2 linked regions of the Macaca mulatta genome follow. The protein of the gene in region 2 binds, or shares a complex with, the protein of the main gene of each other region. Links are inferred from orthologs where the notes say so. Each region holds a gene or a part of one and is shown on either strand. Other genes may lie near its edges.

Region 1 (4,273 bases), on a different chromosome or scaffold from region 2:
TAATCTGCCCTCCAAAAGAGGAACAGGTAAGGATTATCCCACCTGACGATATTTCTAAATAGCCGACATTCCGCACTCAGTCAAAAAGATTCCGTTTACAGCTAGGGTGAGTTCACGACGCGTTGGTATAAGTAACCCTACTACTTAGCATCCTTCCAGTTGTATTGCCATATTTGCTTGCACATTTTTAAAAGAATTTTTTCGTTCGGCTGCCGAAAAGGAATAAATTTCTTTTTCCCAGAATGCTCCGATCATTTACGTGCTGGACGTTCTAACTGTAAGCACTTTCTATTTACATATCTCCGCCCACTCCCTTCCGCCAGACAACTACCGTAATAACCAAAATAGAAGCGATACCAAGTATCTTACGGTCTGCAGAACTAGAAAATAACGTTGCTTCTTTTTTTTTCTTCAGTAGTTTCGCCATTTCAATTGTGCCCTGAAAACTGTATATGTCTTAATCTTACTACAAAACATATTTTATTACAAACCACTAAATACAATGCGGATAATCCCAGACTCAAGACGTAATTATTCCAACACATATCCTCCAGCAGAAGCAGTTTCCGAGGGGAGGACCGAAGCCTATGCCTTCCTTCTTCCAGGAATACGAAGCGGCCCTTGCCCCTGTAGCCTTCGTCCTTAGGTTCCCGTCATGAAGGTGCTCAGAAAGGCTTCTTTTTCAGCCCAAAGACGGTGACGAATAAAGTCATTTCAGTGACAGCTGGAAGGGCACTACCGAGGCAAGTGGTAGATTCAGAAACCCGTTCAATATAAATACCCAAATCTCCAAACCAGAGACCCCACCCCTGAAAGTGTAGGACAGGTGGCATGGGGTAGGGAATGAAAATTCAAAAGACTACAGGATGTTAAGTGGATCTGGTATCTCCCACATAGAGGAAAGGGCTGGGTAGGGGAAAAACCCTCAGGTTTAGGGTCAGCCTTCCTCCCTCATTCCCGAATATTGGATGCTACCACACCTGCAGAAGACAAAAATGTACCAATACGTAGTGCACTCCCAACGCTCGAATATGAAGAAGGACAGGGCCACGGATGCACTACAGTGAGCCCCAATGGCTTGAGAAGGCACCACAGTTAAGGAAAGTCTTTGGATCGACAGATAGTGAGGGGTCAGAAAAGGCCAAAGGCCAGTGGTGGGGTTGGCATCTGCATTCAGGTTCATCGTTTGCTCCCTCACCATATTGCAAGGGCTAGAGTCAGCATCCCCGACTTCTGAATTTTAGGACAGTCATGTGAGGAGAGACCAGAAGTGACTGCGCAGATGGGATCTCAGGCTACCCTACTCCATATCTAGGGGCCAGCCTGGATCCTTCAGATGAGAGGTAAGAGTAGGCTCTCCTGCTATGCCACACAGGAGTGCTGACAGCGACTTGATATGCGCTGGAATCAGCCTCCAGTGTCCTGGTCCTCCTGGTCCACAATTCTCTGACCCATGTGCCTGGCTTCCGTTGCCTCTTCTGAGTTCCCAATGTGCTTTATATCTTTCGTTTTTTGCCAGAGTCTTGCTCTGTCGCCCAGGCTGGAGTGCAGTGGCACGATCTCGGCTCACTGCAACCTCTGCCTCCTGGGTTCAAGCAATTCTCCTTCCTCAGCCTCCTGAGTAGCTGGGATTACAGGAGTGCACCGCCACGCCCGACTAATTTCTGTATTTTTAGTACAGACAGGGTTTCACTATGTTGGTCAGGCTGGTCTTGAACTCCTGACCTCAGGTGATCCACCTGCCTCGGTCTCCCAAAGTGCTGGCATTACAGGCGTGAGCCATCGCACCCTGCCTGTGCTATCTTTACACACTCCCATAGCACACTGCTTATCACACTGAATTACAGATGTGTATCTACCTCCTCATGGTTAAAAAAAAAAAAAGTGGAGTTTTTATTATTACTATTTATTTTGTAGACACGGGGTCTAACTATGTTGCCTCCTGCGCGGGCCTCCCACAGTGCTGGGATTACAGACGTGAGCCAACGTGCCTGGCCAAAAACTGTATTTTACTCTCATTTCGGAATTTTAAGTGCCTAGTAAACAGCAGGATTTAGCACATGGTTGAAGATCTTTGAACTGGAGAGACTGGCTACAGCAGACACTATTGTGTCAGGTGGCTGAAGGGAGTCCTGATAGAAATGGGTCGTGTGGGAAAGGTGGGCAGGCAGAAAGGATACAGATGAGGCTCTGGGTGCTGTTGAACATGGAGACTCCTGAGAGGAAACCGGCCAGCTCCACTGCAAAGAGGCCCAGGGTGACAGAAAGCGCGGCCACCAGCCTGCAGAGAGGAAGTGGACTGGCCCAGGCCTTTGGACTTCTTCTAAGACCCCTCCACTCCCACCACCTCTTCGTTCTGGCCACCCCGTCCCAAGAGCTCACTGAATGTCCTGCTTGTCATACTCCTCGGGGGTGAACCTGAGAGGCAGGCAGGCCTGAATGTTGCTGTCCTGGGAGCAGGGCAGAGAGGAAGAGAAGTGAAAAAGGGGCAGGCTGCTGGGCAGGCCTAGGGACGGCGGAACACGAGAAAACCCAAGTGGGTAAGACACTGGGAGAGGGGCAGGGTGGGGCGGGGACGACTCCGAGATGGGAATGGGGGCGGACGGAGGGCAGCCGTGGGTCTTACCCGGGACCAGAATAAAGTGATGACGACCACCAGATGCGCCAGGAGCGTCAGGAAGCGAGAGGGCACAAGCCCTGAGACCCGGCCCATGGCCCTTGGGAACAAGAGCGGCGGTCTCTGAGGCTGGAAGTTCAGAGACTGCGACTCCCGCAAGTCCACCAGCAAGCGGACAAATCTAGACGAACTCCTCCTTTCCGCCAGCTCAGGCACCGCCCAGTTGCCTTGGTAACCGCGTACGCGGGCGTGCTGCCGCGTTCTCGGAAAACCTCGCGAGAGCAGTACATTCTCCATCTGCTGTGGGTCTTTCAGGGCTAACTCAGGTCAGGGGTACCCGAAGGAGCTTCTAACCCAATGGCTGGGTACCCGTGCGCAGCCAGGCCCTTTGTTTCTCAGAGGGTGAGGGGTGGCACAGCCCCGCAGCGCCCGATCTGCCCACGCAGGGCCGACGAACGGAAACCCACCCTGGCCTAGCCTGGGGACACCTCTGCTTCCGCGGTTGCCCACGCCGGGAGCGGCCCCCAGCCCCAGCTACGCTGCCCAGTTGTGGATCACTTGAGATCACTCCCACCGCCACGCCGGGCTGAGGTCCCCGCCATGCCGAAGACTCACACCCGCTCCCCTTCCTCCTCTCCTCATGCCTTTAACTTCCCACCAAGCTGGGCCTGAGAAACAAGGGACCCGAACGTGGAGAGGCCGGTGTTCCTGGACTGCTCGGCAGTTACAGATTGTCACAGAGCCCCTGGTTGTCTGAGGACCCTAGGCCTGAACCTTCCTTGAGGAAGACTGATTTCTCTCAGACTACTTTGCTCAGTTTGGTGAAGGATTTGCAGAGTGCAAAAAGTGGTCAGCGTCCTTAAACTAGCGTGGGAATAAGAGCAAAGCAAGGTGGCTGGAAAGGTGGGAGTGGACGAAGGGAATGGTACAGTCCCTGCGTCTCTGGGAGGCTTGGAGCCTACGGGAAGGGAAACTCAACTTAGATTTCTTTATCTCTTGGAGGTGCTGGACCTCCGACATTGCCCAGCTACAGTCCAGGAAGCTCTTATCACCGGCGACGTCATGACCTTTGGGCCTCAGCGCAGGTCCCTGCAGATCTGAAAGTTCTTCTCTAATTGCTCAGTCAAGTCCCATCCTCAAGGAAACTCCCGGCCCATTTCCCAGGAGAACAATATCTTCCTACTTCCCACTCGACGTCTCAGTGCCTTTAGCCAGACTAAAGTACAAGCCCAAGAGGCATTTCTCATTCCTTCAACAAATATTTTTATATATTTATTTATTACCTAGTAATAGTATTCTAGTCAGGGAGATCAACAACAGACATGCAAACAAATAAATCCGTAAGATAATAGGTGCTACAAACAGGGATACGCGGGCCAGGCACAGTGGCTCACGCCTGTAATCCCAGCGCTTTGGGAGGCCCAGGAGGGCGGATCATCTGAGGTCAGGAGTTCGAGACAAGCCTGACCAACATGCTGAAACCCCATCTCCACTAAAAATACAAAATTAGCCGGATGTGGTGGCGCGTGCCTGTAATCCCAGCTACTCGATTACTACTACTCGATTAGCTACTAAGGCAGTGGAATCGCTTGAACCCGGGAGGTGGAGGTTGCAGTGAGCCGTGCCATTGCACTCCAGCCTCTGCAACAAGAGCAC
Region 2 (3,576 bases):
TTTTTTTATGTAAATATAAAAAGGGTAGAGTAAAAATACCATATTTATAGTCTGTACGACCTCTGTCATGCATGCAGTTCTGCAGGTTGTCGCTATGGAGGGCATGACTGCATTTGAAATTTGCCAGCATTCCATGCCTTAGGAATGATAAGATGCAACAGCAGTCAGAAGATAAGCCTTTGGGGCAGGGGGGTAAACCTTCATTTTAGAACAGCCTAAGTTTCTTGGTTTAAATGGCTTATGCATCATTTTTTTCCACTCATATAGCCAGGGAAAGAGGTAGAAAGTACTCAACAAGAAATTGATTCCCGAAGTTATTCAAGAGTCAAGTTCCGTGATTCTGCACGAAAAATCAAGCCTAAACCCCAGGTGAGAAATCTTGTCTTTTTAAACCATTTGTTCGTTTGTGCTTTTTACAAATATCCAATGAGAAATGACTACAGGCCGGGTGTGGTGGCCCGTACCTGCAATCCCAGCACTTTGGGAGGCCAAGACAGGCAGATCGATTGAGCACAGGAGTTCAAGACCAGCCTGGACAACATGGCGAAACCCCATCTCTACAAAAAATACAGAAATTAGCCAGGCATGATGGCACATGCCTGTGGTCCCAGCTACTTGGGGGGCTGAGATGGGAGGATCACTTGAGCCCATGAGGTCAAAGCTGCAGTGAGCCATGATTGCGCCACTGCACTCCAGTCTGGGTGACAGAGTGAGACCTCATCTCTAAATTAAAAATAAATAAATGACTACATACACAACCTGACTCCTGTTGCCATGCAGTCTGCAAGAAAAAAGTATGAGAAGTGATTCCAACTTTCATACTAGCTGGACAGATCAGAATATTGCCTGACTTGAGGAAGAGGGGGTGCATGGAAAGACAGGAAATGTTGGTGATGAGACAATTTGTTCAGCTCTGAAGTTGCCCCAGCTTTCATTACAGGAAAAAAGGAGAGTACTAACTCAAAAAGAGAAACAACAAAAAAAGGTCATTTGTTTAAAAATTTCTGTATTTCTCATAATAAAACAAAAAACTATCTCAGCATTGGCTGATAAAACAATAAATCCACTGTTTGTCATTTTAATAACCTTATCTAAAGTGTTTACTACTATAAATAATATATTTATGTACTTATTGGAATGTAAATAATTGCTGGGTTTTTTTAAAAGTCACTGATTAGAGTTACTATTAAAGGAGGCCTCCCACTGCCTGTGGCAGGTATTAAAGTTTATTACCAGTAATCTCACACCTTTAACTAAGACAGTATGCTTCGGAGGCCTGGAATACGCCTGATCCCATTAGCATCAAGCCAGCTGTCAGTTAATTGTGCAGAGCCCATTACAGCTTATAAATGGGAAATTGCGATTTTGCTCCTTGCTTTTCGTTAGGTTCCACCTGGCTTCCCTTCTCCAGAAGAGGCCTACAACTTCTTTACTTTCAGCTTTGATCCCGAACCAGAAGAATCAGAGGAAAAGCCAAAAGCAAGACATAGAGCGGGAACTAATCAAGAGGAGGAGGAAGGGGAAGAAGAAGAACCACCTGCACGAGGAAGAGGAAAGGAAATGGTATTTAATATCAGGATGGTAATGTGTGGGTGGAGGGCTAGGAGGAAAAGGGTGATATACCTGCAAGAAAGAAAGTGGCTGAGGAGAAAACCCACCACCACCAGGAAAATGACACTCCACATGAGTTGAAATCCCAAGTACTGAATTCACATGGCTCCCTGTGCTCTGGGTTAGACCCTACAATGTGGTAAGAAGAACCTTGATTAAACCTGTTTATCTTTCTTTTGTGAAAAAAAAAATTAAATAATGTGGCTTGTGGATTTTTCTTGCTAGACTCCACAAAATGATTAGTATTTATTCCATGTGCAAAGTATGTTCCTCTGCAAGGCAAATGAAACCTCAGTCTCTCTCTTATCGAAACCTTACAAAGTAAGCAGCTTTTTGTGCCCAAACACCACACCCAGGCTGCAACTCAAATTCTGCAACTGTGGGTGGTATGTGTGAGATAAAAGGAGAATATACCATTTAAAAATGGGCAAAGGCATTGAATAGACATTTCTTCAAAGAAGGCATGCAAATAGACAATAAGTCCATAAAAAGATACTTTACACCATTCATCATAAGGGAAGTGCAAATCAAACCCACAATGAGATACCCCTGCACAGCCATTAGAATGGCTCTTATCAAAAACAAAACAAGTGTCATAGAGGATATGGAGAAATTGGACTTTGATGCATTGCTTGCAACCACGTAAAATAGTGCAGCTGCTGTGAAAAACAGTATGGTGGTTCTTCAAAAGTTAACCACAGAATTATAATATGATCCAGCAATTCAATTTCACTCTGTGTATATATCCAAAAACATTGAAGACAAGAACTTGAACATATACTCGTGCATCAATGTTCATAGCAGCATTATGCACAAAAGCCAAAAGGTAGAAGCAACCCAAGTGTTCATTGGCAGATAAATGGATAAACATAAATATACAATGGAATAGTATACACCCTCAGAAAGCATGGACATTCAGACACATGCCACAACATAGATACACCTTGAAGACATTACACTAAGAAAAATAAGCCAGTCACAAAAGAATAAATATTCTGTGATTTCACTTATATGAGCTACGTTGTATAGTCAAAATCATAGAGACAGAAAGTAGAATGGTGGTTGTCAGAGACTAAAGGAAGGCATCAAAGTTGTCATTTAATGGGCATAGAATTTCAGTCTGGGAAGATGGACAGATAGTGGTAATGGTAGGACCACAACGTGAATTTACTTAATGCTACTGAACTGTTCACCTAAAAATGGTTAAAATGGGCTGGGCGCGGTGGCCTGTAATCCCAGCTTTGGGAGGCCGAGGAAGGTGGATCACCTAAGGTCAGGAGTTTGCGACCAGCCTGGCCAACATGGTGAAACCCCGTCTCTACTAAAATTACAAAAATTAGCTGGGTGTGGTGGCAGGCACCTGTAATCCAGCTACTCAGAAGGCTGAGGCAGGAGAATTACTTGAACCCGAGCAGCGGAAGTTGCAGTGAGCCGAGATCGTGCCATTGCACTCCAGCCTAGATGACAGAGCAAGACTCTGTCTCAAAAAAAAAAAAAAAAAGAAAAAAAAAATGTTAAAATGGTGGACTTTATGTTATATATATTTTACCACATTAAAAATAATGAAAACACCCTAGGATATTCTAGTATTCGCATAATTGGCTTAATTCTCTGCTTTGCTTATAATCTCCTCCTTTGAAAAATGCCTCCCAGAAATGCACTTCTTTTACCTAGATTTATAGAAGCTCAGGAATATTTTAGCTTATACTATAACAATCGTTCTGCAAATCAGCATTCAGCTCATTCAGTGTTGCTTGAGTGTCCTCCTGACATGACAGCTAACTTCCCAAAAGCAAGTGATCTAGGAGAGAACCCAAAAAATAAGCCACACTTCCTTTTATGACCTAGTCTCAGGAGCCACACACTGTCACTTCTGCCATATTCTACTCAGGAGAAGCAAGTCACGAGGCATAGTGCACTCTCAAATGGAGGAGAATTGGGCTTCACCTGTTGATAGAAGTCTCC

What was found.
Region 1: CC2D2A (region 2) and TMEM107 share a complex: the UniProt entries of both Homo sapiens proteins name them as parts of the tectonic-like complex. The link is inferred for Macaca mulatta from reciprocal best matches to the Homo sapiens genes CC2D2A and TMEM107.

Annotation. Positions count from the first base shown.
Region 1 is NC_133421.1:9,692,382-9,696,654, forward strand, and holds TMEM107 (transmembrane protein 107), read right to left. Parts: upstream 2,806-4,273; 5' UTR 2,714-2,805; coding exon 2,627-2,713; intron 2,451-2,626; coding exon 2,383-2,450; intron 2,300-2,382; coding exon of another isoform or gene 2,282-2,299; coding exon 2,181-2,281; intron 1,344-2,180; exon of another isoform or gene 1,245-1,343; intron 1,078-1,244; coding exon 981-1,077; intron 736-980; coding exon 666-735; 3' UTR 411-665; downstream 1-410. UniProt on the Homo sapiens protein: Plays a role in cilia formation and embryonic patterning. Requires for normal Sonic hedgehog (Shh) signaling in the neural tube and acts in combination with GLI2 and GLI3 to pattern ventral and intermediate neuronal cell types.
Region 2 is NC_133410.1:14,561,639-14,565,214, forward strand, and holds part of CC2D2A (coiled-coil and C2 domain-containing protein 2A), read left to right. Parts: intron 1-267; coding exon 268-369; intron 370-1,386; coding exon 1,387-1,563; intron 1,564-3,576. UniProt on the Homo sapiens protein: Component of the tectonic-like complex, a complex localized at the transition zone of primary cilia and acting as a barrier that prevents diffusion of transmembrane proteins between the cilia and plasma membranes.